Coturnix japonica: one gene and its partners. The main gene of each other region encodes a partner of the protein of the gene in region 2 in a complex. Links are inferred from orthologs where the notes say so. Each region holds a gene or a part of one and is shown on either strand. Other genes may lie near its edges.

What was found.
Region 1: DPF3 (region 2) and SMARCD1 share a complex: the UniProt entries of both Homo sapiens proteins name them as parts of the BAF complex. The link is inferred for Coturnix japonica from reciprocal best matches to the Homo sapiens genes DPF3 and SMARCD1.
Region 3: DPF3 (region 2) and ACTB share a complex: the UniProt entries of both Homo sapiens proteins name them as parts of the BAF complex. The link is inferred for Coturnix japonica from reciprocal best matches to the Homo sapiens genes DPF3 and ACTB.
Region 4: DPF3 (region 2) and SMARCC2 share a complex: the UniProt entries of both Homo sapiens proteins name them as parts of the BAF complex. The link is inferred for Coturnix japonica from reciprocal best matches to the Homo sapiens genes DPF3 and SMARCC2.
Region 5: DPF3 (region 2) and ARID1A share a complex: the UniProt entries of both Homo sapiens proteins name them as parts of the neuron-specific chromatin remodeling complex. The link is inferred for Coturnix japonica from reciprocal best matches to the Homo sapiens genes DPF3 and ARID1A.
Region 6: DPF3 (region 2) and SMARCE1 share a complex: the UniProt entries of both Homo sapiens proteins name them as parts of the BAF complex. The link is inferred for Coturnix japonica from reciprocal best matches to the Homo sapiens genes DPF3 and SMARCE1.
Region 7: DPF3 (region 2) and SMARCD2 share a complex: the UniProt entries of both Homo sapiens proteins name them as parts of the BAF complex. The link is inferred for Coturnix japonica from reciprocal best matches to the Homo sapiens genes DPF3 and SMARCD2.

What each region holds. Positions count from the first base shown.
Region 1 is NC_029544.1:347,990-352,031, forward strand, and holds the start of SMARCD1 (SWI/SNF-related matrix-associated actin-dependent regulator of chromatin subfamily D member 1), read right to left. Parts: upstream 2,801-4,042; 5' UTR 2,765-2,800; coding exon 2,597-2,764; intron 2,477-2,596; coding exon 2,289-2,476; intron 1,119-2,288; coding exon 1,076-1,118; intron 979-1,075; coding exon 856-978; intron 587-855; coding exon 458-586; intron 1-457. UniProt on the Homo sapiens protein: Involved in transcriptional activation and repression of select genes by chromatin remodeling (alteration of DNA-nucleosome topology).
Region 2 is NC_029520.1:23,752,220-23,756,222, reverse strand, and holds the start of DPF3 (zinc finger protein DPF3), read right to left. Parts: upstream 2,801-4,003; 5' UTR 2,636-2,800; coding exon 2,604-2,635; intron 1-2,603. UniProt on the Homo sapiens protein: Belongs to the neuron-specific chromatin remodeling complex (nBAF complex).
Region 3 is NC_029529.1:4,232,029-4,235,972, forward strand, and holds the start of ACTB (actin, cytoplasmic 1), read right to left. Parts: upstream 2,801-3,944; 5' UTR 2,668-2,800; intron 1,912-2,667; 5' UTR 1,906-1,911; coding exon 1,783-1,905; intron 1,450-1,782; coding exon 1,210-1,449; intron 685-1,209; coding exon 246-684; intron 1-245. UniProt on the Homo sapiens protein: Actin is a highly conserved protein that polymerizes to produce filaments that form cross-linked networks in the cytoplasm of cells.
Region 4 is NC_029544.1:895,855-900,045, forward strand, and holds the start of SMARCC2 (SWI/SNF complex subunit SMARCC2), read right to left. Parts: upstream 2,801-4,191; 5' UTR 2,757-2,800; coding exon 2,646-2,756; intron 2,563-2,645; coding exon 2,443-2,562; intron 327-2,442; exon of another isoform or gene 321-326; coding exon 235-320; intron 1-234. UniProt on the Homo sapiens protein: Involved in transcriptional activation and repression of select genes by chromatin remodeling (alteration of DNA-nucleosome topology).
Region 5 is NC_029538.1:53,095-56,594, forward strand, and holds part of ARID1A (AT-rich interactive domain-containing protein 1A), read right to left. Parts: intron 1,503-3,500; coding exon 1,370-1,502; intron 1,004-1,369; coding exon 831-1,003; intron 651-830; coding exon 500-650; intron 359-499; coding exon 227-358; intron 124-226; coding exon 27-123; intron 1-26. UniProt on the Homo sapiens protein: Involved in transcriptional activation and repression of select genes by chromatin remodeling (alteration of DNA-nucleosome topology).
Region 6 is NC_029542.1:4,150,377-4,153,876, reverse strand, and holds part of SMARCE1 (SWI/SNF-related matrix-associated actin-dependent regulator of chromatin subfamily E member 1), read left to right. Parts: intron 1-1,161; coding exon 1,162-1,333; intron 1,334-2,311; coding exon 2,312-2,484; intron 2,485-2,943; coding exon 2,944-3,045; intron 3,046-3,353; coding exon 3,354-3,500. UniProt on the Homo sapiens protein: Involved in transcriptional activation and repression of select genes by chromatin remodeling (alteration of DNA-nucleosome topology).
Region 7 is NC_029542.1:1,260,750-1,264,904, forward strand, and holds the start of SMARCD2 (SWI/SNF-related matrix-associated actin-dependent regulator of chromatin subfamily D member 2), read right to left. Parts: upstream 2,801-4,155; 5' UTR 2,662-2,800; coding exon 2,494-2,661; intron 1-2,493. UniProt on the Homo sapiens protein: Involved in transcriptional activation and repression of select genes by chromatin remodeling (alteration of DNA-nucleosome topology).

The DNA of each region.
Region 1 (4,042 bases), on a different chromosome or scaffold from region 2:
CAGGAGAGCAAGTTCCAGGACTCAAGCACAGGCAAGGTGCACAGCAGTGTTCCTTTAAGTTGTGAACACTTACATTCATCAACACATGCTCGAAAATCAAGTTCCAAGTCAAAAATGGTGAAAGACTGGAGATAAAGATGAGCTTGGAGGAATTAACTTACTCAGCAATTACATAAAATGCGAGTGCCCTGGTTCTAAGAGCCAGGGTACACAAGTGCTACTGATCGGCTCTCACCATTAATTCTTATAGCTATAAGAACTTTGTATAACTCATGTTCTGCCATGGGGATACCCATCGGTCTCCGAGTTGGGCTCTCGGTCTCGTCACCATCAGACTCCTTGGAAAACAGAGATGAAGGAGGATATCAAGCCCTTAGCTACACTCCCAGACACTAAGAAACTGGTTCAATTTCCAATTCCAGACCCATCAAATCAGCTCTGCAGTTGGGTGCCTTACACTCACATCTTCTAGCAGCCTTCCTTCTACTCGAAGCTCCCAGGAGGCCACTGTTCCTTCACCATCCTCTGCATCCGACTTGGCTGGATTGAAGGTATTGGAGATAAAAATACGTAGCTTTCGCTTTTGCTACAAGAAAAAGCATCAGCTCAGTATTCATTCAGAAGCAAAGGGATGAGAATCATGCTTATGTTTTGTTAAAACTAAGCTAAATATTCTTCTTTTCCTCATACATCCACTCTCAGGACAAACAGCACAGAGAGAGGCAGTCTTGGTTCTACCCCCCCACTTAAGTCCTGGGCATTACAGTTCTCTCTATGCTTATAGGGTTATGACACAACCTTCAAAGCCCTCCTACTCTTCTGATAACAGTAAGTCTCTGAATGTCCCTCTCCTACCTTAATGGGTCGTTTCAAAGCCTCCTGGATATCCAAGCGTTTCCTCATGATCGTCTGGTCCAATTTCCTTTCAAAGGCCAGCAGGTCCATATAAGCTTGAGACTCAGGCACAAGTTCACGGATCTACAAGCAGAACACGAGCCAATCAAGAATGCAAATCACTGTCAGTTCCCCCACATCTCCATATCAGCAGAGGCTGTCAACTGCACATGCCACTCACCCTCTGAGGTAGAATTTTGTCTGCCATCTTCTTCTTTTTAGCACTGTAAAGTAAGGAGAGCATTAAAATGGCAACCATTCTGCTAATTAACACTGGACGTTCACAAAAGGAGCGAGATGAGGTTTGTGTTTTAGGACCAGGGCATCAGCAATGCTCTCAGCCCTGCAGCAGCTGATCGCCTTAATACATCCCCAAGGAAAGCAATGAAAGCAAGGCTGCATCATTGGAAAGGAAGCCTTATGGCTCAATGTGCTTTAGACAGACTTTTCTAGGAGACTCAGAGATGCATTACCAACGTTACCAAGGCATCACATTGTACTATCAGAAACTGAACATTAACTTGCTCTTGTCCAGCAGTTGCACATTACTTTTTTATCTGCTGGAAATTCCCCTCTACCAGAGACGAAGCTGCACGAGAACATCAAAGTTTCTTTCAGCCACCCAACAAAAAAAAAGCAGCAATGAGAGGCCCAGGCCTGGCTCTGCACACAGAAAAGCTTTGTGCTGCTCTGAGCAGCCAGCAGATGACACCAAGTCAGTGCTGACCCCTTCAGAGAGAGCCTGCAGCTCAGTGATGCCTGCCCTCACCCTGATACACAGATCTCGTCCCATGGGGCTTCATGAGGAGAGAAGCAATGTGTCCACGTCCACCTGGGGATGCCCTGAGCACCCTCAATGCTCTGGTGATGCACAGAGATACCTCGAAGACCCCTTGGACCCAAGGATGCCCTGAGACTCCTCTTTGCCCTCGGGGTGTCCTGAGGAACCCTGTTGCCATAGGAATGCCCAAGGATATGCCCAAGACTCATCTGCCATCCCAGGGATGTCCTCAGGACCCCTGCTGCTCTGAGGATGCCCAAGGGACATTTTGAGACCTTCACTGTTCCCTCCCCTGCCCTGGAGGAGCACAGGGAAGATCTGGGACCCTCATCTGCTCCAGGAACCCTTCCTATTTCAAGGATACCCAAGGATATCCTAAGCCTCCCACTGCCCTGGCAGCATCCTTTGGACACCCATTGCCCTGAGAACCCCCCTGTTGCCAAGAGGACACCCAACGATGTCCCCAGAGCCTTTCTACCCCATAGTTATCCTATGAATGACCCGAGCTCCTCCCCCCACTCACAGCTCTAAGGATGGCCAAGGATGCCCTGATCCCCCCCCCCCCCCCCCGCACCGTCTATTCCCTGAGCCCCCCAGCACCCCCGGTTCTTACTTGTGGTTGCGGTTGGGCACCGCCTGAGGCTGAACCTGCTGCAGTTGCTGCGGCGCTGGTCTCTTACGGGCCTGATCCAGGCCGGCCTGCGCCATACCGGGCCTCACTGCCGGGCTCCCACCGTACCCGGGCGGCCCCATAGAGGGGCCTTGCGGTGCCAAACGGCTGCCCGGTAACATCCCAGGGCGCTGCAAGGGGAAGAAAAAAGCCGTTCCAATGCCCACCCGGGGGGAAGCCGGCCCCGTCCTCGGCCCCGCCGCCCCCACTCCCTCCCGCCCCGCCCCGCAGCGGCCCCTCCCCTGCCTCACCGGGTAGGCGGCCCCTGGTAGAGGTGAGCGGTACAAGCCCTGTCCCGGGGCTGGGCCCATGCGCACCGGTCCGCCTGGTGTGCCCGGACCCAGCGCTCCGGTCCCGGTAGCGGCCCCGCCGCCTCCACCGCTGGGAGTCACTGACTGGAAGCCCGCCCGCGCCGCCATCTTGTCCAGCACAAAGAGGAGCGGGCCGGAACCGGAGCTCTGACATAGAGAGAGCGCGGACAGCGGCCTAGAGCGGCAACGGCTGCAGAGAGCGCCCCCTGCCGGCGGGAGGAACTGCGGGGGGTGGGAAGTAGTGGGTGGGGAGGGGGTCGTGGGTGGGTTTAAGGTTCACTACTGTGGGGGAATAGGGGCCTGGGGGAGTATGGCAAGGTTCTGGGGTGGGGGTGGGGGGTGTAGAGCGTGGGGAGGGCTGTGGGTGGGGGTAGAGGACTTGGAGAGGGCTATGGGATGGTGTTGGGTTTGGGGGTTTCAGAGACCATGGATGGGATGGGGTATTTGCAGGGGGGGATGTGTGGGAAGGGGCTGCGTCCTGGGGACATGCATGGACCATAGGAAAGTGTTTTGAGGGTGCAAGGTGCTGGAGGATGGTGCTCATTAAGCCTCGATGCTGTGACTGAGTTGGGGTGGGGGTCCCCTGTTCTTACAGGTGCTCTGTGCTCGTGTTTGGGGCTGCTTTGCTTAGGGCTGGGGATGCTTGGAGGAGGATTCCTCCCTCCCTCAGTAGAAGGCACAGCGCTGAATTAAAGGCCGCTTTTTGCAAGTATTAGCATTACTTTCCTTGTCCCCAGGGCACTCATCCGTGTGGTTGCTCATAGAGCAGAGGGACCTGCATCCAGCCTGCATTAATCCATGAATAAAATCCAAGAGAGCAGCCACACCGCAAGTATTAATTAAGCAATTAATGATAATCACAGGCCATTTAGGAAGCTGTCCTGTACAGTGCATGGCATTGTTGACTGAGGAGAAAAGTGGGGAGTTGTTGGCATCTTTTCCACCAAATTCAGTGTTTCTTGACCTCGATAGAAAACACGATGCCGTGAGCACAGCCATTAGCTGTTGTCTCAGCATCCGTGTGTCCGTGCAGTTAATGTAATGCCACCTCCAACACAGCCTTGGCGCCTGGCTGCCTGATGAAATATTCATGGTGAGGAGAAGCGGTGGAACTTATCTGCTCCGTATTGTTCAGATGCAGCAACTTCAAGTGAGGCTTAAAGCCCGGCAGGAGCCTTTGGACAGAGTTAGGAAGTGGCTGGGAGGGATATAGAAATAAGGAAGGGCTGAGCTGAGAAATGGTCTCTCTCCAGCAGCAGTTCCCTGTCTGCCTGGAACTGGGGAGCCCAGCACTGAGCCCAGTGCTCCAGTTGTGGCCTCCCCAGGGCAGAGCAGAGGGGAGGTGCACCTCCCTCCATCACCCTGCTGGCCAGGCTCTGTGCAGTG
Region 2 (4,003 bases):
GAGTGCTCCAGGGAGTGCATTTAACTGACAATCTGAAAGAAAAGTCAGCTGTGGGAGTACAGACTGAGAAAGGGTGGAGGAAATCAGCTCCACTTCTAGATCGAGCTCTGTAAATTACAAGATCTTAATTACATTAAATACATTATGGTACCGTATGCACATTTCTAGTCAGGCAGGAGTGGAGGAAATGTGGCTGGCTGCTAAGGCTGGAAGCTGCACTGCTGTGCTTTAGACTTGATCTTCAATTCAGAAAGTTTCTTAACCACTTTGTCCTAGTTTAGTCATCCACAAAACAAAGGCAATAATCCCTTCTTCACAGGGGTGATGAGAGGTTTAATTAATTAATGTTTACAAAGCCCACTGAGATTTCTGACTGACACTTTAAGTCATTCAGAATACCACTTCATTGCATTTGTTCCTTCTGCTGCCCCACTCGAACATCTCCGCATTAAGATATCCAAAGGAAAAGATGGAAAGAAGAAATAGAGATAGGTACCCAACAATGAATGCAGCATTTCTAGCCCACTGCTGCCCATCAGCACACTGAGTGCTGCCTTTTCTGCAGGCAAAGAACTCTGTGTTTATCCAGACACCTGCTGCCCTTTCTTCGCAGATCTGTTACGCTCACATCTCTGCCGTTTTTGCCTCGGAGCACCGTGTAGGTGAGCAAGGTGCTGGATGGCAAAAATAGCAGGCGATTGAGTCGGGCTGACCAGACAGACAGAGGCAGCGAGGGGGATAAGAGCAGAGGGATGAAAGCCCCCGAAGAGAACCAGCAAGTGAGAAAAGAGGCAGAGAGAGAGGCGAGCTGAACGTGGGAGCGCCCATCACAGCCGGGGGACTGCACGCACCGCGCTATTCCGTGCAGCGCGTTCCCAGGGACGCTCAGGTACACGGGAGCACGTTATTTCGAGAGCAGCGCAGCACGAACGAGGCCACACATGTGTCCAAGTGCCGGAGAGAAACTGAGCTCTGGGCACCGTAGACGGGCGGCACAGCCGGAGCTGCGGACACCTGAGCCGGGATGTCTCGGTCCCGACATTGTCCCCGGCTCGGAGCGAAACCTTTGTGCGGGCAGTTTCTGTAGGGGGCGTTTGTGGGTTTTCAGATACAATCAAAACGCAGATAAATGCAAATGTCATTCGGCTCCCTTTCATTGTCAGGGAGGACACATGAGGATAAAACGTTGTGCTCTACGTCCTTTCCCCTATTATGCGTCCTACCGCTTTTGTCCTAATTTATCCCGTGCATAATTTATTTACGTGCGTATTGTTTCCCCAACCAGCAACTTTAAAGAATGAGTGGAAATTATAAAATGTTTTATTAAACAACTTCTCGATATAAAAACGCAGGTGGTGCCGGGCAGTCCGTGCCGGTCCCGCTTCCCCCGCTCAGCAGCGCAGCACTTGTGCAGGCAGAGAGACGAGCTGCCCATTGTTCGCGCTCTCCCACGCCGCGCGAGAGGAGCCGAGCTCCGCTGCCCTCCCGGCTCAGCCTGGCGGGGCCGGGGCGGCCCGTTCTCCCCCACCCCCCGGGGCTCCCGGGGAGCGCTGCCCGCTGAGAGCGGCTCCGGAAGCCGGGCGAGAACTGCGAGCGGGACGGAGCGCCCGGGGCATCAGCGCGACAAGTTGCTGCGGGCGGCGCGGGTCCAGAGAGCGGCGGCGGCGGGTGCTGAGCCCCGGGATCCCCTTAAAGGAGCGCGGGGCACCTGCACTGCCGCTGCCCGCGGCCGTGTGGGCGCTGCGGAGCGCACGCGAAATGAAAGCGAAGGTTTTCTGCCAGGACGGAGCGGGAGAGCCGGCAAACGTGTCAGCACCTTTCCGCAGCCCGAGGCTCATCCTCCCCGCAGACTGCGGAGAGACGGCGGCAGGAGTCCCCGGAACCACCTCCGAGCGGTTTGCCAACTCCAGCCGGAGGGACGCGAGTCAAAAACCAACAAAAAAAGAAACAGAAGAAAAGAAAGCGGAGCCACATCCCGCAGCCCTCACTTCGGCTCCGGACTCCGTTCCGCGCTGCTGAGAAGTGCGGGGAAGCGCCGCCGCCAGGTGTCCGCGCTGCGCTGCGCTCCGTCCGCGGGAGCGCTGCCCCGGGAGGCACAACTCTCCCGCGGGAGGTTACGCGGCGCCGGGTCGCGCTCTCCCTAATGCCCCGGGATTAGCCGCGCGCCGGAACCCGAGGGAAACGCCAGAGGAGAGCAGGGGGGACGGCGAGCGATCCCGCGTCCCTCTTAGGACGGGGACCCGGGTGGCGGCGGCAGCCGAGTCGCCCTCCCGCCCCCGGCGCCCGCTCCCGAGCCGCGAGCGGCACCAACTCCCCGCCGCTCGGAGCCTTCCGCGCAAACGGCGCCGCTGCCCCGCGCCGCACCCCGCACCCCGCGGCTCGTCGCTCCCCGCCGCCCGCCCCGCCCCGGCCGCCGCCGGACCCCGCGGGACGCCGCCAGGTGCGGGTGCGCCCCGACCGGGGCCGCAGGACGCGCCGCCCGCCCGGAGCCGCCGAGCCGGGGCCGCGCGAGGAGGCGGGGAGCCGGGGCCGGGCGAGGCGGGAGGGCGGCCGTTCTCGTAGCGGAACCACGCGGAGCGTGTGCGGGTCTGAGCCCTACTTACGCTTTCAGGGGGTTGTGAATGACAGTCGCCATTTTGCTACAATGTAACAGAATATTGTGTCTCGGAGTTCTAAAGGTTCGCTCAGGGGAAGCGCCCGGCCAATCGGCGCGGGTCGTGCCGGCCCGCCGCCCAATCGTGCTCCGCGGGCGGGGCCGTAGCGCTGCTAGTTATTAGGGGAGCTGTCAAAGCCCAGAGGTCGCTCCTGCCTGTGGAGCGGGCGGCGAGCGGCCCTTAAAGGGGCAGCGCCCGCGCGGGGCACGCGGCCGGGCGGATCCTGGCAGGGGCCGCCCCCGGGGACACCGCCCCGCCCGCCGCCCTCCCGCCGGGCCGGCACCGCCATCCGCCCGGCCCCCGGGAGCCGCTTCCCCCCCCCAGGAATTTCCCTCCCGCGTCGGGTGGCCGCGGCCCCGAGCCCTTACATAACCGTAACGACCGGCCGCGATGACCGACACGCCCCGCCCCGGCCGCTCCCGGGACGGGACGGCGGCGGGGGCGAGTCCCGGGAGCCCGCGGCCACCTGCCGCTACACGGAGTGCTCGCAAGGAATTGGGAAGAGCGGCAGAGCGCCCGAAGGAAGCGGCGGGCTGGAACTCCGCGCCACTCGGAGTACAGCGCCGGAATGGAACGGGCACGGTCCGAGCCAGCAGCTCCCGCCCCGTCCCTCCCGAAGGACTCCCCTCCCTTCGGGCACCTCTGTCCATCCAGAAACAAGCAGCAGCCTGCCTCTCCAATCCTCGCATTCATAAAACTGGAGGAAACTCAGCTACACGCAGTTAAATCATTCCCATCGCAGGAGCAAGATAAGCCTACAGAGGGTAGCCCGATCCACAACTTAATGAAAGAATGGAAGTAAATGTTTGAGAGATGTTCAGGTGTAACACAGAGAAAACAGCAATCGTTGAGCTCATGGGATGAGCTTTGCAAGGGCAGAAAAACTAAATCTCTCCCAACTGTTTGTCAAAATAAAACTTTCTAATGTGTGGGCAGCAGAGAAAAGGCTGAGAGATGAACAACAGAGAGGTACAGAAATTATTACATGCAGATAAGGGGAAAGAGCAGTGCATCACTTTCCCAGTCATGCAGGATTCAGCAGCTTTGCCAGAGTCCCCTTTCCCAAAGCAGCACCTGCTGCAGCTCCAAGGCCAACCTGCCCACTGTGTGCTCCCGGAGGGAACCATCTTCCCCTATCTGAGACACTTGGTTACAGGAGAAATAAGCTTCCTGTCAGCTGGAGAGTTGCCAGACTGCCGAGATGTATCCTAACCACGGTTCTGGGAAGCAATCTTCAAGAACGTTTCCATTATCATATTGCATTATATTATATGGTATAGTAGTGGTCCAGGTGACATTGACTGTAACTGCAGAAAGCCCTGTTCGGTACTCACACTGTTCACAGGAAA
Region 3 (3,944 bases), on a different chromosome or scaffold from region 2:
CTACTGCTATGGGAAGAGAAACAAAGACCCCATAGTGGGAAGCAACACAAGCAAAGCCATGGCTTACAGGCTCAGCCTCCTGGTTCTGACCTAGGTACCTCTATCATCCTCAGGCTGAGGAAGACAAAGACTGAAGTGGAATGGGACAGACCTGCTAAGGGCCAGCAGTACAATGGCAGCTGACTAGTCTCTAAGTCACTCTAGGCAGAAGGGGCACGGAATCTCCTAAAAGGAGTCAGACTTACCCAAGAAAGATGGCTGGAAGAGGGCCTCAGGGCACCTGAACCTCTCATTGCCAATGGTGATGAGTTGACCATCAGGGAGTTCATAGCTCTTCTCCAGGGAAGAGCTAGAGGCAGCTGTGGCCATCTCCTGCTCGAAATCCAGTGCGACGTAGCACAGCTTCTCCTTGATGTCACGCACAATTTCTCTCTCGGCTGTGGTGGTGAAGCTGTAGCCTCTCTCTGTCAGGATCTTCATGAGGTAGTCCGTCAGGTCACGGCCAGCCAGATCCAGACGCAGGATGGCATGGGGGAGGGCATAGCCTTCATAGATGGGCACAGTGTGGGTAACACCATCACCAGAGTCCATCACAATACCAGTGGTGCGACCAGAGGCATACAGGGACAGCACAGCCTGAATTGCTACATACATGGCTGGGACATTGAAGGTCTCAAACATAATCTAGAGAGATAAGAAAGCACTGAGTCAAGCAGAATAAACCAAGGTTCTCACTGCATGCCTACATCAGTCCATGCATGTGGTTTTACATTTGTCCCTAGATAAAGAGGCTTCTTTGCTCCTCTAGAAGGAGATATCAGTGCTTATCTCGCTTGGTCTCCACCCACACCTGCCAGGTTAGAGCCTGAGCAAGGACACTGCTACCACAGGCCCATCCACATGACACAGCAAGGAACGAAACAAAGGCCAAGGAACTACAGTATAGTCATTCAAGGCTGGTAAATGGATTAGTGTCTAGTCAGAAACAGCAGTTAGACAAGTTGCTAGTTCAGTCTCAGAGAAAGCCAGCTTAGAGCAAACAAAACCTGTCAAGGTCCAGCAAAGAGGAGACTCAGGTCAGGAAAGGAAAACCCTGTAAAGATGGCAAAAAGGGAGAAGTGGTGAAGGCGGATAGAGGACAACATGGAAGAGGAGAGCTGGCCTGCAGCAGCGCCTGCTGTAGCTCCAGGCTCAAAGGGTTTTACACACCTGTGTCATCTTCTCTCTGTTGGCTTTGGGGTTCAGGGGAGCCTCTGTGAGCAGCACAGGGTGCTCCTCAGGGGCAACACGGAGCTCATTGTAGAAAGTGTGGTGCCAGATCTTCTCCATATCATCCCAGTTGGTAATTATGCCATGTTCAATGGGGTATTTCAAGGTCAGGATACCTCTCTTGCTCTGCGCTTCATCACCTACATAGCTGTCTTTCTGACCCATACCAACCATCACACCCTGCACAACAAAGAAAAAGCTTTAAGTTTAACTCTAGGACAAAATCCAATGGATGAATAAAGGTTTTATTTCCCCCCCCCGCAGAAGCCACACCTTTAATCACTAACCCCCTACTGCCCCTACTCTGCCAGGTTAAGGACTGGAGCCATTGGCTCAACACGGGTTGCTCGGCAGGATGCTGTGTATTCAACCAGTTACTGTTGCAGAGTAGAAACCTCTTATGTCACACATGAAAGTAAAAGGGCTTCTGGAGGCTCCACGCCCTCAGCACAACCACTCCCACCGAACACTCCTCTCCATTGTCTGGATGCATCACTCCAGCCATTGCCGTACCTGATGTCTGGGGCGACCCACGATGGATGGGAACACGGCACGGGGGGCATCGTCCCCGGCAAAACCGGCCTTGCACATACCGGAGCCATTGTCAACAACGAGCGCAGCAATATCATCATCCATGGCTGGCTGCGAAGGAAGAGAGGAGGCAGTGAGATAGAAGCGCTGCCGGTCACGCACTAGAAGCCGGACCCCGCCCCGCCTCGCCCCCTATAGATCCCCCCAACGCTGGGGATGGATCGCGGGGCGGCAGCGCGGCAGCACGGCCCTCCTCCTCCCACCCATTTCCTTCCTGCCGGCTCCGCTTCGCCCCTCGCCCGCTAGAGGGGGTCAGGCGGCACCTCCCGGATTTGGGCTCGGCACAGATTTGGGACAAAGGAAGTCCCTGCGCCCTCCAACCATGACCATAAAAGGCAATGGCAGCTCCGAGCCGCGCCTCGACAGCCGCCGGCGCTATAGGGGCAGCCAGCCCCGCCCACCAGCCGCCCCCAACCACCGGCACCGCCCCGAGCCCCCAACGGCCCCGCACCCAGCACAGCCCCGCAGCCAGCACAGCCCGCGATCTGTAACAAGGATTGGGGGGGGGGGGCTGCACATGGGGGTACAGCTGCACATGGGGGGGGTTAAAGCTGCACATGGGGGTCACAACCCGACCCCCCCCCACCCCTCACTCCGCCTTTGTTCCCTCGCCCCCCGCCCCGCTCATCGCAGCACAAAGCGCCGAACCGCCCCGCGGCACCGGGCAGCACCGGCTCCGTTAACACACACACACACCCCGACTCACGCCCCCTCCCCAATACACAGCGCCCCCCCGCAGCCCCTCGGTGCTCCCCCGTATGGCACAATGGAGCTCTGCTGTCGCAGCGTTGCGGTCCGGCCGCTCACCTGTGTTTGTACCGCGGTCAGTCGGAGCCGGGTCGGGCGGCACGAGGCGGCTGGATGCGGAGCGGGGCGCGGGGCGAAGGCAGCGCAAAGCGACTCCCGCCCGCCGCCCGCTCCGCCTTTTATAGGGCCGCCGCCGCCGCCGCCTCGCCATAAAAGGAAACTTTCGGAGCGCGCCCTTCTGATTGGCTGTGGCCGCACCTCTCCCGCCTCGCCCCGCCCGCCCCCATCGCTGCACAAAATAATTAAGAAATAAATAAATAGGAAATTGGGGGGATGAAAGGGGAGAGGGGAGCGTGGGGCTCAGCTCCAGGTGAGGCTGAGCGGCGGGGTGTGACGCTCCCTTCCACCCCCACCCCCTTTTGATTCCATAGTGCTTTGATTCCATAATGCTTTGATTCCATAGTGCTTTGTTGGGGAGGGGATGCAGCCCTGCCCCCATCCCGGTGGTCCTGCGGTCCCCTTGAAGTCACCTCCCGGGGACAGGCGGCCATAGCGATGGGAGCTACGGGAGCTATGGGAGCTATGGGATCTATGGGTGCTATATGGGATCTATGGGAGCTGTATGGGATCTATGGGTGCTATATGGGATCTATGGGTGCTATGGGAGCAATGGGAGCAGTAGGAGCAATGGGAGCAATAGGAGCTATGGGAGCGATGGGAGCAGTGGGAGCGATGCGCACCGGCTGTGCATGCACTGAGCTGCAGCCACACTGATGTGCGTGCACCCAGCAGCAATAACAGCAGCCTGCGTGCATGCACTGAGCTGCAGCGATACAATGAGTGTGTGCACCCAGCAGCGATAGCTCCAGTGCGAGTGCATCATGCTGTGGGATGGAGTGATACAATGAGTGTGTGCGCAGAGCTGCAATAACAGCGAGGGCTGTGCGTGCACTAGGCTGCTACAGCAGCAAGGAACGTATCACGGCGCGTGCATGCACCGAGCTGCAATCACACCATCGGCCTGGTGCTGCAAGGGAGGGGATGGGGCACCAGGTGCATTGTTTGCACCCACCCCTCCCGGCCTGCAGCGCTACCCAGGGCCAAGTTCAGCGCTCATGTCAGCAAGTAGCGGTGCAAACCTCCCGGCCAGCCCTTGGACTGCTGGGTGCATCGCAGAGCCCATCAAGGGCCGTGCTTCGTTAGGGTGTGAGCTGCAGCGGCAGCAGCAGCCGGAGGGAGGAAACGAGAGCTGAGTAAGGAGCTGAGTCAGGCAGGGCCCGGCCCGGCGGAGGTCAGGGCAGCCGAGGGGCCTTTGCCTACATTTGGGCAATATTTTG
Region 4 (4,191 bases), on a different chromosome or scaffold from region 2:
TCAGGTCTCCTCATCACTCAGCCCCATTTTACCCATTAAAGGGGGGTGGGGGGACACCCCAACAGGGATCTGTGTATGGGGCTGTGACCCACAGATGGGCAGCCAACACACTGCCCAACCCAGGGCTGTAACCGCCCCCATTGTGCCCCATAGAGCAGACAAATCTCTGCCTCCCCCCTCCCAACCCCACCACCACCCTTAATTCCATCCCATCCTCCCTATGATGCCGCTCACCATCCTTGGTCGCTCTTGAACTTATAAGCAGCCGCCAAGATGTGGCACAGGGCTCCCCCCGCCTTGAAATCCAGGAAGCATTTGATCTGGAAAAGGGGATGGGAGGACTCGGGGGGGGGGCTGCCCCACAGCGGGCAATACCCCACAGCGGGCAGTGCCCCACAGCAGGCAATACCCCATACATAGCAGGCAATGCCCCACAGCGGGCAGCACTGGGACTCATCCCTTCTCCCTATTGTCCCCATTGCTGTCCCTGCTCCATGCCATGGGGGCGACCACCCCAACAACCCCCCCGCCCAACCCCAGCCCCAAAGAGCCCCCCAAAGGGATGGGAGTGGGGAAGAGGAGGGTCCCCATGTGTCCATCCCTCCCAGCTGGGCCGTGTGGGGCCTGGGGGGCTCTCGCAAAGACCCCTCCAAAGGGGGTGGGGGGTGGGAAGGGGGAGGGTCCCATGTGTCCCCCCCCCACCAAGGCATTGCAGGACCGGGGGGGTCTCACAAAGACCCCCCTAAAGGAGGGGGGGGGGGGAAGAAGAGGGTCCCTATGTGTGTCCCCCCCAGCTGGGCCATTTGGGGCTGGAGGGGTCTCGCAAAGACCTCCCCAAAGGGGGGTGGGGGGGTGGGTCCCCATGTGTTCCCCCACACCAAGGGCCGGGGGGGTCTCGCAAAGACCCTTCCAAAGGGGGTGGGGGGTTGGGAAGGGGGAGGGTCCCATGTGTCCCCCCCAACCCAGGGCATTACGGGGCCGGGCCGTGCGGGTCCGGGGGTGTCTCAGGTCTTTCAAAGACCCCTCCAAAGGGGGTTGGGGGGTTGGGAAAGGGGAGGGTCCCCATGTGCCCCCCCCCCAGCTGGGCCATTTGGGGCCGGGGGGGTCTCGCAAAGACCTCCCCAAAGGGGGGTGGGGGGGTGGGTTCCCATGTGTCCCCCCCAACCCAGGGCATTGCGGGTCCGGGGGTGTCTCGGGTCTTGCAAAGACCCCTCCAAACGGGGTGGGGGGTGGGGGGTGTCCCCATGTGTCCCCCCCAACACCAAGGCATTGCGGGGCCGGGGGGGTCTCGTAAAGACCTCCCCAAAGGGATGGGGGTGGGGAAGACCCCTCCAAAGGGGGTGGGGGGTGGGGAAGGGGAGGGTCCCATGTATCTCCCCCAACACCAAGGTATTATGGGACCGGGGGGGTCTCACAAAGACCCCCCTATAGGGGGGGGGGGGGGGAAGGGGAGGGTCCCATGTATCTCCCCCAACACCAAGGTATTATGGGACCGGGGGGGTCTCACAAAGACCCCCCTATAGGAGGGGGGGGGGGGAAGAGGAGGGTCCCTATGTGTCATCCCACATTTGGGGCCTGGGGGGTCTCACAGAGACCCCCTCAAAGGGATGGGGGTGGGAAGGGGGAGGGTCCCTATGTCCTCCCCACCCAGCTGGGCCATTTGGGGCCAGGGGGGTCTCGCAAAGACAACCCCAAAGGAACGGGGGTGGGGAAGAGGAGGGTCCCTATGTGTCCCCCCCAACACCAAGGCATTGCAGGGCCGGGGGGGTCTCACAAAGACCCCTCCAAAGGGGGGGGGGGGTCCCACGTGTCCCCCCCAACCCAGGGCATTACGGGGCCGGGCCCTGCGGGTCCGGGGGGGTCTCACAAAGACCCTCCTAAAGGAGGGGGGGGGGGAAGAGGAGGGTCCCCACGTGTCATCCCACATTTGGGGCCGGGGGGGTCTCGCAAAGACCCCTCCAAAGGGGGTGGGGGGGTTGGGAAGGGGGGGGGTCCCCATGTGTCCCCCCCCCCCCCCAGCTGGGCCATTTGGAACCGGGGGGGTCTCGCAAAGACCTCCCCAAAGGGATGGGGGTGGGGAAGACCCCTCCAAAGGGGGTGGGGGGGTTGGGAAAGGGGAGGGTCCCATGTGTCCCCCCCAACCCAGGGCATTACGGGGCCGGGCCTTGCGGGTCCGGGGGTGCCTCGGGTCTTGCAAAGACCCCTCCAAAGGGGGTGGGGGGGTTGGGAAGGGGGAGGGTCCCCATGTGTCCCCTCCACCCCAGCTGGGCCATTTGGGGCCGGGGGGGTCTTACAAAGACCCCTCCAAAGGGAGGGGGGGGGGTCCCATGTGTCCCCCCCAACCCAGGGCATTACGGGGCCGGGTCGTGCAGGTCCTGGGGTGTCCCTGGGGGGGGTTGCGGGGTTTGCGGGTCCCTTTGTCCGCCCGGCCCAGTCACGCACCGGCAGTTTGGTGAGCGGCGCGTTGCTGACGTGCTTCCCGAACACTTCCTCCTGGAACTGCAGCAGTTGAACCACGAGACTCGACAGCGATTTGTTGGTGGGGGGCTCGGCCTGGATGTACTGCGGGAGGGGGCTCAGCCTCGGGCCTGGCTCCGTGTAAAGCGGAGCCGTGAGGCCTATGAGGGATCCCGAACGATCCGTACCTTCTTGTAGTTCTTGCCCAACCAAAGGCGGACGTTGTCGAATTGACTGACGGTGTCCGAGGCCTCGTAATATTTGACGTTGGGGCCGCCGTCCTTCTTCCGCACCGCCATCTTCCAGCGGGCCGGGCCGCTCCCCGCCGTGACGTGACGCAGCGCCCCCTGCCGGTAACGAGGGGTACTGCAGGACGGCGCCCCCTGCCGGTAATGAAGGGTACTGCGGGACGGCGCCCCCTGCCGGTAATGAAGGGAACTGCGGGACGGCGCCCCCTGCCGGTAATGAAGGGTACTGCAGGACGGCGCCCCCTGCGGGCAGAACAGGGGTGAGTGTGCACAGCGCCCCCTGCAGGCCGAATGGAGATGAGTGAACACAGCGCCCCCTGGCGGCACGGAGGACCCGATGGATGGGGGCGGTGTGCCGGGTCTAGGCGGAGCGCGGATGAGGGAGGCGCTGAAGTCACGGTGGCCGAGAGGTGAAGGCGTTGGACTCGAAATCCAATAGGGTTTCCCTGCGCAGGTTCGAATCCTGTCCGTGACGGAGCTTTATCTTTTAATGGGGGGGGGGTCCCTTTTTAATGTGGGACTCTGTATAACACGGAGCAGTTCAGAAAGGCTCGGCCCCTTTTAGTGTGACCCCCCCCCCGACCCCTCCTAGAGCAGCCACAGCTTCGCTACAGAAACCAGAACAGCCGTTTTTATTGATCGCTGAACGCCCCCCCCCCCCCCCCCCCCACCAACAAGGGGGGGGGAGACCCGGAACCGCATCGTACAGACAGCGGAAAATAGGGGGAAGGGGGGGGGAGGACCGTAAAAAAAACCAACGTAACGAATGAGAATAAATTAAAGTCCCATAGGGTGAATGGGGGGGGGTAAGGGGGGGTATGAAGCCATCGGTGGCACTCCAAAATCAAAGGGGGGGGGAGGAGAATGGAGGGGGGGGGTAAGAATGGAGGGGTGGGGGAAGGCTGAGTAGTACAAAATAATACAGAACCACGAGCACGAGTGGCTGCAGAGGAACAGCAGTGGGGCAGAGGGGGCTCCTATTGCCCCCCAGGGTGGTGCCAGACCCCCTCCCTGCTCCCCCCACCCCCCCCCCTCATTGGCTCCCCCTCGCCCATAAATGCCCAGCTCTGCCTTTAGGGTTAAATGGGGAGAGGGAGGCCAGGCCTGGCCCCCTGGGACAGACACAGGCAGCATAGGGCAGAGAGCACAAGGGAGGCAGCCGGGGGGGCTGCAGGCACAGCGTGAGCATCCGTGGGGCTGGAAGCCCATGGGGCTGGAAGTCCATGGGGCTGGAAGTCCATGGGGCAGCAGCCCAGCAGTACCCGGGGTGCAGCTGTGCCTCCTCTGCCCCCTCTGAAGACACCAAGTGGGGATATGGAGCTGCAGGGGGCAAATGGGGGGTGGGCTGGGGTGGATGCAGCGGTTATAAGGGGGACTTGGGGGGAAGGGGGGGGGACATGGAATCGTTTCATCCAGCTGTGAGCAGAGCCCGGCCATTGGCAGCATCCACCCCAGGCCTCGGTCCCAGCCCCCTCCTCAGCACAAA
Region 5 (3,500 bases), on a different chromosome or scaffold from region 2:
TGTTCTGATACTTTCTGATAACCTACCTGCTGTTGCTGTTGATACATGGTAGTTTGCTGGCTAGGGAAGGGGCTGCCAGAGGATGTGCCTTGAGTGGAGAACTGATTGCCATAGGAATCATGTCTGGAGAAGAAACACAAGCATCACTTTTCCATCAGATACATTTCTTTATCACAGTACTTCTCTCAACTGGAAAGAGCTCTCTGTGGCAACGCCCCACACAAACCTTTGCTGCTGCTGCTGCTGCTGAGGGTAGCGGCTGGGAGAGTACATCCCTGATTCCGAAGTGGAAGGCATGATGTTTGGCTGTGGAGTTCCAGCTGCTAAGTTGCCCTCTGGTCCCATGCCTGGCTCCGTCCTACATGGAAATAAGTGACAAATTCTGTGACATTCCCTCAATGCTCAAATGAAAAGCAAAAAGCAGCGATTGAACAAGTCAAAGCAATCAGCTCAGTTGAAACAAGCAAGTCTGGAAAATCAGTGTGGCTAGAGCACCCACCTCACTCTGTCGTAAGGACCACCATAGGGATACTGTGGCCGCTGTCCCATGGCCATGTTACCCATCCCTGGACCTGCAGCACGATTGTAAGGGTCACCCATACCACTGTTGGGGCCCTGCCCTGAGGACATGAAGGGATCACTTCCTGGAGCTAAAAGAAGGAAAGAAGGATCAGTAAACACATCTATCTCTGCATTAAAAAGAAACATCCCTTCTTTTGTGAAAGAAGGACAAGCATGTCTCCTACAGCACAGCACATTCCAGCATTCATCCAGATACACTGACAGTGCTCCTGGAGAAAAGGGAGAGGAGTACGTACAGACTTTCTCACCTTTCCTCATACTACCATAAGGATCCTTATTTGGCTCATAAGACATGCGACCCATCATGTCGGAGGTATTCATGCTGGGCTGGTACCCTGGATTCGGAGTCATGGAGTTCCGCTTCTGGAACGTGGGATCACTGCCATCTGTAAAGGTATCTTGAAGGCCCACTGAGTTACTCCTGATTTAAAAACAAAACAACCCCACAGATTTTTAGAGGCCCGCAGTGCTCCTCAAGATTCTTCACCCCACATATTCCCTCTCAGATATTGCTACCTCCTAGAAGGGCCAGAACCATGCTTCTCCAAAGGAGGCAAGAACTACCCTTCTACAATACTATCCTTACCAAATCCCAAAAGCAGTGGTTATTCACACACAGAGACACAGGGTCAACAGGGTCACTGTGAGCTACTAACAAAGTAGCAAAGCCAAGAGTCTATCAAAACAGGTACTTAAAGTCTCCAGCCAGCTGTGGGAACAACTTCTGGCAACCTCACAATCACAACTTACATCCAGTATGGTGGAAGAGAGTGCAACATTTACATACCTGATGCCTGGCAAAGGAGGCATCTGACTGTGTGGTGTAGATGCTGGAGTTGGAGGCTTCAGGTCTCCTCCTTCTGCCATAGAGCTGCTGGTGGACTGAGGTGTCTGAGGCCCCTGCATCGAGCCTGAACCCGCTGCAAGAACACAACTGTGGCGTGAGCAGCTTTGCATCCTACAGATGTAACCCAGAACCTCCCGAAGCACCAGCCTCTATAACAGACAGTGATCAGTCTCTGAACAAAGAGATGGGTGAAATACAGACAAAACAGTACAAGGAGTGCAATGCCTCCAAGCACATACTGGACCAGACTCCCCAGAAGAACCCTGTAGAGTAAGGTGAAGCTGAAAGGAAGTGTTCATTTTTATTACAACTTAACCACCTTCCTTTCTACACATGGTACCAACCACTATAGCACCCTGTTGAGCTGCCCAAGCTATCCAGTCCTAGAGGTCAGTGCTCCACAGTGGACCACGCGGTAGGGAATACATTTCTTTCTGCCAAATGACAACCTCTGACACACTGTCCTCACATCCTAATTCTGCCCAGAAGGGTTTAAACTGTCTCCCAGAAGCTTTACAATCTTTCCAACTGATGGCAACTCTGGGACTTTTTCTGCAGTCACTGGGTAACTCTGAACAAGGCTCCACTGTCTTCTCTGCCCTTCAAGTGGGGTTAATTCACACAGGTGAATTCAGGCACCACTCCCAAGAATTCCTGGAACAAGGAATGCCAGAGATGCAGGATCTTTCACAGAACAACAAAACCTGTCCAGCAAGTTCCCTGACTCTGCACAAGTTGTTTTACACCACACTAAGCCTTCATCAAAAAAATACAAGGCCATCAGGTGTGATCCAGCTGTGCTGCGATCTGTGAAAGTCTGCCCCTGGATCACTGTGACAGTGTCAGCTCTCAGGTTTATATGCTCTTCGCAGCTGGCAGAAGCTGAACTCTTAATTAACGTTTCCATTAGTTACCATCCCCAGCACCCGATATCCCTCAGCTTCAACCCTGCTGGTTGATGAGTCATTTCAGCTATTCATTAAAATCCTCCGAGGTCACGTCCAGGGCATGTTTGTTTACACCCCACCTTCCTGGCATCCTGTCCTTCTCTCTGTGACTCCCTCCCAGCCCAGGGAGCTCTCGGCAGAAGGAAGGGCAGAGACAGCTCAGCAGGGAGTTTCATTCATGAACCCTTCCTGCAGCTCTCCTTCCCTTCTCAGCAGCAGTTTGGTTCCACTTGCTTCCCCAGGAATTTGCAGTTCGTCTATGTGCTTACAAATGCTGGCAGCGGCATGAAGAGGCCTTGAGACATTCCCCACGTGGCTGCCATTTGGTGTTTGTCCCCACCCCCTGCTGTCCCTCCCACTCACAAATTTACACACAGTTGGAGCCAGGCCAGTTCCATGCTCTGGGAATTAAAACCAACAGTAGGCTGATTATGGCTCCCCAGGCACGTGCTACAGTTTGCAAGCGGGAACCCAAGACAGTCTGCAGCAAACCCATGCTGAGTGCCCACAAGGCAATCCCCAGCCCGCTTCAGAGGATGTTCTGTAAACAGTTTTGCTTTTTGAGGGTGAATAAGACGCAATATATGGAAAGTATCTTCAACACCAAGAGCTCTTCTCTGACCACTGCCCTCTAAGGCTTTTACATCCCCTGGGGCCACACACAGTGGGTAATGCTGAACCGTGCAGTGTGACCTCTATCGCTGATAAAGCACTGAAAAGTTAATTTTGACAGAGCAGGCTGAAATTACACATAAGCCAACATCAACAAGTTACAGAGTCTACAAGGACAGCAAATCACATACATCCATATGGGATGAGAGTCCTTTCCCCATACAATGGGATTCCAGAACCCTCCGCTGTTGCCTGCTCTGTTTTCCATTAGGACAGTTATGCTCCAGAAGGGTGACTCCCTGGTAAACAGGCTCACAACCCTTAAAGATGCTACTAAAATGAGCCTCAGCTACCCTGGAACAGCTGTGTCCCCTGGGACTCTACAGCTCTGAAGTGCTGAGAGCACACTTTGTGCTGTGCGCCGTGCCCTCACCCCTGCTAATGCAGGGGAACAGGAGAGAGGAAGAAAACAAAAATGAAAGAGGAGCACAAACATGCTGAGTGATAAGGCC
Region 6 (3,500 bases), on a different chromosome or scaffold from region 2:
GCTCTGCAACTACTGCTGTTGAGGCATGAACGTGCTCATAAAAGACTTCCAGTCACGTAGGGTTTGCTTTCCATGCTATTACCTGGTGTATCTCCACGCTGTGGCGTGGTGTTTTGTTTCTTAGTCGAAAAATGATACCATTCTGTAGGGTTTTCTCTTGGTTTTGTTTTTATCTTCACAACAAAAGATGACAGCTCTGCCATGTCTCTAGGTTGGTAAGTGCTGAGGACTTTTACAAGACTGTTACTGTGATCCTGAACTACAGAGGGGAGCTTGTCCACCCGCTGCCTTGTAGTTAAACCTGGCTGGCATCCTGGTTGTGCACAGCCTGATCAAACCTGAGCTGTTTGATTCCAAGTCAGTAGAGAAGTACTTCCAACTCTTAGTTGAAACAAAATGAAGGAATTCTAGTCTCTTTAACTTGGTAGCAGTGTTTAGATTGTAAGCTCCTTGGGGCAGGGGCCATCTTGCTTGTGTTTGTCCAGTCCTAGTAATGAAGAAACTTGACGCCCTCAGGTATTGGTGCCAGGATCGTAGCTTATCTCATTTTTCATTGGAAATACCTGAAATCTCTGTACAAATTCTAGAGTAGGCAAATTTTAAGAGTGACCTGAAAGTAAACAATTCAAAGGGAAAATATTTCAGAGAAAGTGAAAACAGTGATGCAGTCCTGCTACCAGTAGTCTGGCTGCAGCACTCTGTATCATCCCAGTGCAGGGATGGATCAAAGAACGCAAAGGCATAAGTTATTTGGAAACTGGCTCATGGCATAACTGGAATAAAGAAAGAGAAGAAATGGAAATAAAAGACATAGATAAAACTCCAAAGAACTATTGAGAATATTTTAAGTCAACTCTTCTTTATTTGATCTGAGTTCATTTGATAAATGCCTCGTTCTGAAGTTTGACTTCAAATGACAAAAATAAAGCGTTCTTAAGACCTCTCAAGCAGTAAAAAGCAGCTAAAAACCCAACGCCATTTGGGCTGAATGATTGTGGAAGGAGTTCTGATATGTAAAACTTAAAAGCTGAGGGAATCTGGTGGTGTCTCAGTCAGGTAGTTCAGAAATGAAGTCTGTATAACTGAGTTTGAGTAACACCTATTTCTGTCAGGTCTGAAATTGTCCAGTGGTGCAATCAAACAATATTGGTCACCTTTCAGATTGAGTACAATGAGTCCATGAAGGCCTACCACAACTCTCCTGCGTACCTTGCCTACATCAATGCAAAAAGTCGTGCTGAGGCTGCGTTAGAAGAAGAAAGCCGACAACGGCAGTCACGCATGGAGAAGGGTGAACCTTACATGAGCATACAGCCAGCAGAAGATCCAGACGGTAAGCAGAAAACAGCCTGTGTGTGTGTGCAGGGAGACAGTCTCACCACAGGGCCTGTGGCATAAGCACACGCCAGACAGAGAAATTACTTCTGTGTAGCCTTCCTGGTGCTGAGTGTGACTTCCTTTTATTTCAGTACCTTCACTACTTTTATTTTGTATAGCTAACAGCTCCCAAAACCTAAGGTGGCAATGCAGTGATAAATCTACCAGCCCTTAATTGTGTATGAAGTGATACGGACAGTTCAAAAGAAATTCGTCTGCTTAAAGCTCTGTAGTGGCTCTAACAAATCAATTACCAAACGATGAGCCGCTTCCTTTAATCCAGCTTGAATGGAATCCTGCACTTCATGACCAGAAGAAGCACGTCGTTCTGATAAGCTGAATTCTGGCATGATTAGGAGCACCTGAACTTCAAAGGTTCAACAAAAGTCAATTGAGATTGTTTAGAACAGAGTTATCCTCACTGTTGACAAGTTGATGAGAAAATTCTGAAAGTTTATTTGACTGCAAGGAAATGCACCCCACCCAGCAGGGAAAATCCAGATTTGTGCAGTTAAAGTCTGCTTTGAAATTGGTGACCCCGTACGTACTTGTTGAAACCTGAGGGTGAGAAAATCTGCTCAGTTACACCCTGAGATAAAGCCTGTGGCAACAGCGCCTTCCCATGTGAGGTAACTGCAGAACTGATGTCAACATGTTCAGTGCTCCAAGCAGCTGACATTGTGGGGCTTTCATTTCTGATCCACACTATGTGGGCCAGAATTAATGCAGGCAGAGCCAGCTGTGCCAGCACCAGGATGGATCCACTCATATTTGGGATGAATTGCTCAAATATTTTAGGATGAACTTTGTGACACAAGAAAGCAGTGTTGGGCTTTGGTTTGTTTGTAGTCAGTGCTGATGTTGGTGCAGCCTCATTAGCCCCAGTGCTTGCTTTGGGGAATGAGTGCCTTTGTGCTTCCAACTCCTGTTTCAGATTACGACGATGGGTTTTCGATGAAGCACACAGCTACAGCCCGCTTCCAAAGAAACCATCGCCTCATCAGTGAGATCCTGAGCGAAAGTGTGGTTCCTGACGTCCGCTCTGTTGTCACCACAGCCAGAATGCAAGTTCTTAAACGCCAGGTTCAGTCTTTAATGGTTCACCAGGTAAAGATAAATGATGGGAGGGCAGCACGCCGAGTTGCGCGTCCTTTGATCATCCCTGTGCTGTTCTTGTTGGGTGTCTGTGCTTTGTGCGCTCCAACTGCTGATCTTGGGAGTGCCAAGATGTGAGATTTCATTTCCCATGGCCTTTTTTACTGAGAGTTACCTTAAGCTGAACTTTTCCTTGTTACACACAACCCTTTTAGAGGGTATATTGGTAGATTCGGTTGCTTATGACTGCAGTCTTGTAGCAGTTCTTTACCGCACAGACCCCATTTATTGTTCAGCCTTTTTTCCTTCTTGGTGTATGTTGGGTATTGGATCAAGGAAACATTTTGGTGTAAGGGTTTAAAACATGTCTGTGTTTAAATGTTGGTTTGAATATTGTTGTCCATTTCTTCAGAAGTAAAGCAGCTTCATTTATGACATTTATTAATTTTGTTACATTTATTACATTTCCAGCGTAAACTGGAAGCTGAGCTGCTGCAAATTGAAGAGCGTCACCAGGAGAAGAAGAGGAAGTTCTTGGAAAGCACAGATTCCTTTAACAATGAGCTCAAAAGGGTACGAGTCTCCTTCCCCACTTACTCTGAGCAATCTACTGGTTCCCTGCTCATACTGATTCTCTGCCCACTTCCATTTAGTTCCGTATTGTCTGTGATGAGATGACTGCAGTGTCCCAGGTCTGGTGGAGCGTTTGAGTTGCTTCTTCTGTAGTTTCTGAAGCTTTTAATGTAAACTTATTCAAATCACAATATTTATTGTGCACGTATTGCTGCATGTTGAGATACCGAGTAATAATTGAGTTTTCTTGGTGCTTTGTCTTTTCACAATGTAACTGGGTAATAAAAGAGCTTTTTTCTAATTGCTAGCTGTGCAGTTTGAAGGTGGAAGTGGATATGGAAAAAATCGCAGCTGAAATTGCTCAGGCTGAGGAACAGGCACGCAAGAGGCAGGAGGAAAGGGAAAAGGAAGCAGCTGAGCAAGCTGAGCGCAGTCAGAATAACACAGCAGCTGAG
Region 7 (4,155 bases), on a different chromosome or scaffold from region 2:
GCAGCGCTCACACCAGGACCCAGCAGCCATGCTGACACTGAAGGGGAAAGGCCACATTAAGTGAAGTTTTCTCAGCAGCTTCCACACCGCAGGGACTTGGCAAGAGAACAGAAGGGATGCACGAGTTACAGCCTGGGACTTTCACCTCGTGCTGATGGCCATGGAGAGCACAGGGTAAGAGGGGGAAGGAGGTGTAAAACAAAGAGCAACCTAAGGAACAGAGGCTGCAGCAGGCAGAGAAAGAACTCAGGGGATTTATGCCTTAAACACAAGCAGGAACAAGGAAGAAAGGTGTTGGGTTCCTGCTTGAAAACGTGGCAGCCTCAAGTAATACAAAGGGGGAAGCAATGGGAAGAGTGGAAAACACTGCTCAGATGTGCAGGGAAAGGCTCTGAGGGTCCCTATGGAGGAAGACAGAGCAAAGGCCTCCAGCAGGAAGCTTTGGAGATGCTCCCACCGAGCAGAACCTCCATGAGCCTTAAGGAGAAACAAAGGGTGCCCTGAGCTCTGCTGCTGCCTGCTTCTATCCAGCACTGAGAGCACAGCATTGCTCTGCTTTGTGTCACGGCTTCATTCTGCTGGATGCTCAGCCTCTGATGAAACCTGCCTTGGAAACAGTCCCCCACTGGGAAGGGTGGGTCATGCAGCAATGCAAGCTGCAGATCCCTGCTGTGTGCTGCACTTCCAGCCTTGCTGCCGTCCCCAGGCCAACCATGGGACAAGCACCCAGCTCTCCTCTCCTAATGGGATCCAGCAGGTCTGTTTGGAAGCAGAAAGCTCCAACTCCTTCCATGCACAGCCACGCTTCCTCCAATATCACTTTGTTAGCAGTTGTTTGGCTTGCAACAGCCCTTCCGTCCCACGGAAATGGGATTCCTGCTTGTCAGCAAGTGCCAATGAAATGCTTTTAACGGGGCACTTCATTAACTCCACTTCTTCTTTTTTTTGCCACTGATCTACGCCAGCAAAGCGACAGCACAGGGCAACCTCAAGGCCATTCTGCACAGCCCCTCCTCCACTGCATCACAGAGCTGAGCCCATTCCCTACCACAGCATCAACCTGATAACTCGGGAAGGATCTCCCAAGCCTGAAACCTCCATTACAACAAACAGAGGGAACTCCTGATGGATTTATGCTAACCTGAGCCTTGGGATGGGGGTGGACACACCACCGTGCAGCTGATCGCCCATTGCATGAACACACTCCCACTCCTTTCTGCTCTGGAAACATCAGTGCTAGAGTGAGTTGTCCTCCCCATTTCCCTTCTTGAGCTGCTGGTGCATAGCCAGGCAGGCAAGGGATGTCAAAGGATTAACATACATTTAATAATCCACTGATTAAAGAGCCCCTAAGCACCCGCTGCCATACATGAGGGCTGCTGTGTTCTCCTAGCCAGCATAATGCAGCAGAAGGAGCCTGACTCACTGGTTACCCCCTGAGAAGTCCTGCGGGCACCGCAGTTTTGACCACTTGGTGGGGAGGAGCTGCTTTAAACAGGCCTGCAAATTGCAAAACAAAAGACAGACCGGATCGATCAGCCCCCAATCCCCTCCCTGTGCCAGCAAACTGCCGGCCAGACACGACAACAACGACTTGCATTACCCAAACACTGCAGCACTGCCATATGCTCCCAGTCTCACCCTACCCCATCCATACGCTCCCAACACCTGCCATGAGTGCAGTATTATGGCCAGCATGGGATAAGGGGGGGGGGTGAAAGCAAACATATGTGCCCCTGTTTACCCACAACAGAGCGATGCCCGCTGGGTTCTGCAACCTGGGAAGGTCGGGATGAAGCCTCCCTATAGCTCTGAGTCACATTACAGCCAATGCAGGGCCCTATTGGCCTGGCTGAGCTCATCTCAGTTTTCACTTCGGGGTTTTTCAGCTTCACGGGTTGTTTCTCCTCCTTTGATACAGCAGTTGGAAATTCCCCCCATGTGGATGACTGGATTTCTTCGGTTTGGAACTCAGAACTCATCGCAGAACGAGGCTTCTCCATAAACAACCCCACAACACGTGGGGGCTGAACCAACAGCAGAAAAGGCAGCAGAAAGAGAGCAGAGTCCACAGCTTCCAGCACTGCAGCGGGTCACATTTACTCCCCTTTATCCCCATTCCTTCCCTTTAACGTTCACCATCACAGCTCCATCTCCGGAGCTGGAAATGCACAAGGATGGCTGTGATGGACCCTCCTGGGCCAGGACCCCCACAGCACAGCCTGGGGGGGTACGGGACCACCTCCATAGGGCAGAACACTTCTCCGTTAACTTTTTAATGGGGGTGGGGGGCCAGGACAGCCGCCCCTATGGAGCCCCGCTCCCCCCCCACCGCCAGGGCCCCACGTTCAGGAAGCAGCGCCGCTTCCTCCGGGCCCAAAAGGCCTCTGAACCCCCACGGCCCCTTTGGAGGCCTCTAAGTAACCCCCCAATCCCACCTCCCACCTCCCATCCCCAATACAGAGCACAGAGCCGCCCCCCGCCCGCCCTCACCTGGTACTGCGCTCCCGAAGGCCCCATCGGACGATATCCCGGAGCGGCCCCGGAGGCCGGAGTCGGGTTGGGGCCTCTCATCATACCGGGTCCGGGCCCTGGAGGAGGAGGAGCGGCGGAGCCGGAGGGAGGCAGAGGGCTGAGAGGGAAAGCTCCACGGGCGGCCATGGCGGTGCTGGACCGGGCAGAACCGAACCGGGCCGGGCCTAAAGCTGGGGGGGCGGCCCGGCGCTGTTTACTCGGAAGCGGCGGCGCCCGGAGCGGAGGGAGCGCGCGGCGTGAGAAGCCACGCCCCCCACCCCCGATAAGCCACGCCCACTCCCACGATAAGCCACGCCCACTCCCACATTAAGCCACGCCCACTCCCACATTAAGCCACGCCCCTCCGCTAAACCACGCCCTCAGAGAAAAAAGCCACGCCCCCCGATAACCCACGCCCCGATAAGCCACACCCGTTCACGCCCTATCCTATAAGCCACGCCCTCCACTAAAGCCACACCCTTCACTAAGCCACGCCCCACCCAATAAGCCACGCCCCAAAGCAAAAGCCACGCCTCCGATAAGCCACACCCCGTTCACTAAGCCACGCCCCCTCCGATAAAACCACGCCCCTTCCACTAAGCCACGCCCCCAGAGCAAAGCCACGCCCCCCAATAAACCACGCCCATCCACTAAGCCAAGCTAACTCCAATAAGCCACGCCCCTTCCATAAGCCACGCCCCCTTCAATAAGCCACGCCCCTTCCAATAATCCACGCCCCTCCGCTAAGCCACGCCCCCAGAGCAAAGCCACGCCCCCTCTGCCAAGCCACACCCCCTCAAAAGCCGCCACTAAGCCACGCCCCCTCCAATAAGCCACACCACTTCACTAAGCCACGCCCCTTCACTAAGCCACGCCCCCTCTGTGTGGCCACGCCCCTTAAACAAAGCCCCGCCCACTTGTGAGGCCCCGCCCCCATTGGCTGTATGTGTGCACATGTGTGTGATTGTGTGCACATATCTCTGCCAGCATGTGTGTGTTTGCATGTTTAGGGCCGTGTATGCATCTGATATGTGCATATGTGTGCACACGTGTGTGCATATGCGTGCCCACTCTGCATGCATGTGTGTGTATGTGTACATGTGTGCACGTGTTCATAATAGTGTACATGTGTGTTCATATGTGTTTTCCTGAGTACATGTACGTACGTGTGTACATGTGTGTGCATGTATGTGTGTATGTGTGTGGGTGGTGTAAACACATCTGCATGTGTGCATGGATGTGCATGGGTACATGTGTTAGCATGTGTGTACACGTGTGTAGCTGTTAGTGCATGTGATTATATGTGCATATGATTGCATGTATGTTCATACATGTGTGTGTGGGTGTATATGGATCTTCATGTGTACACCTCATGTATGTACCTCTGTGTGTATGTATGTACCTCCATGTGCAGGCATGTCCTTATGTGTATGTGTGCACATGTGTATTCACATGTTTGCATGTGCCTATATGTGCACATGTATGCACACACATGCACGTGTCTCTATGTGTATGCACACATGTGTACATGTGTGTAAATGTGCCTGCATGTGGACATGTGTGAGCATGTATGTAAGTGTGTACATGCATGTGCATGCGTGTCAGGGTATGTCCATGTGTTTTGATGCATACTTGTGTGTG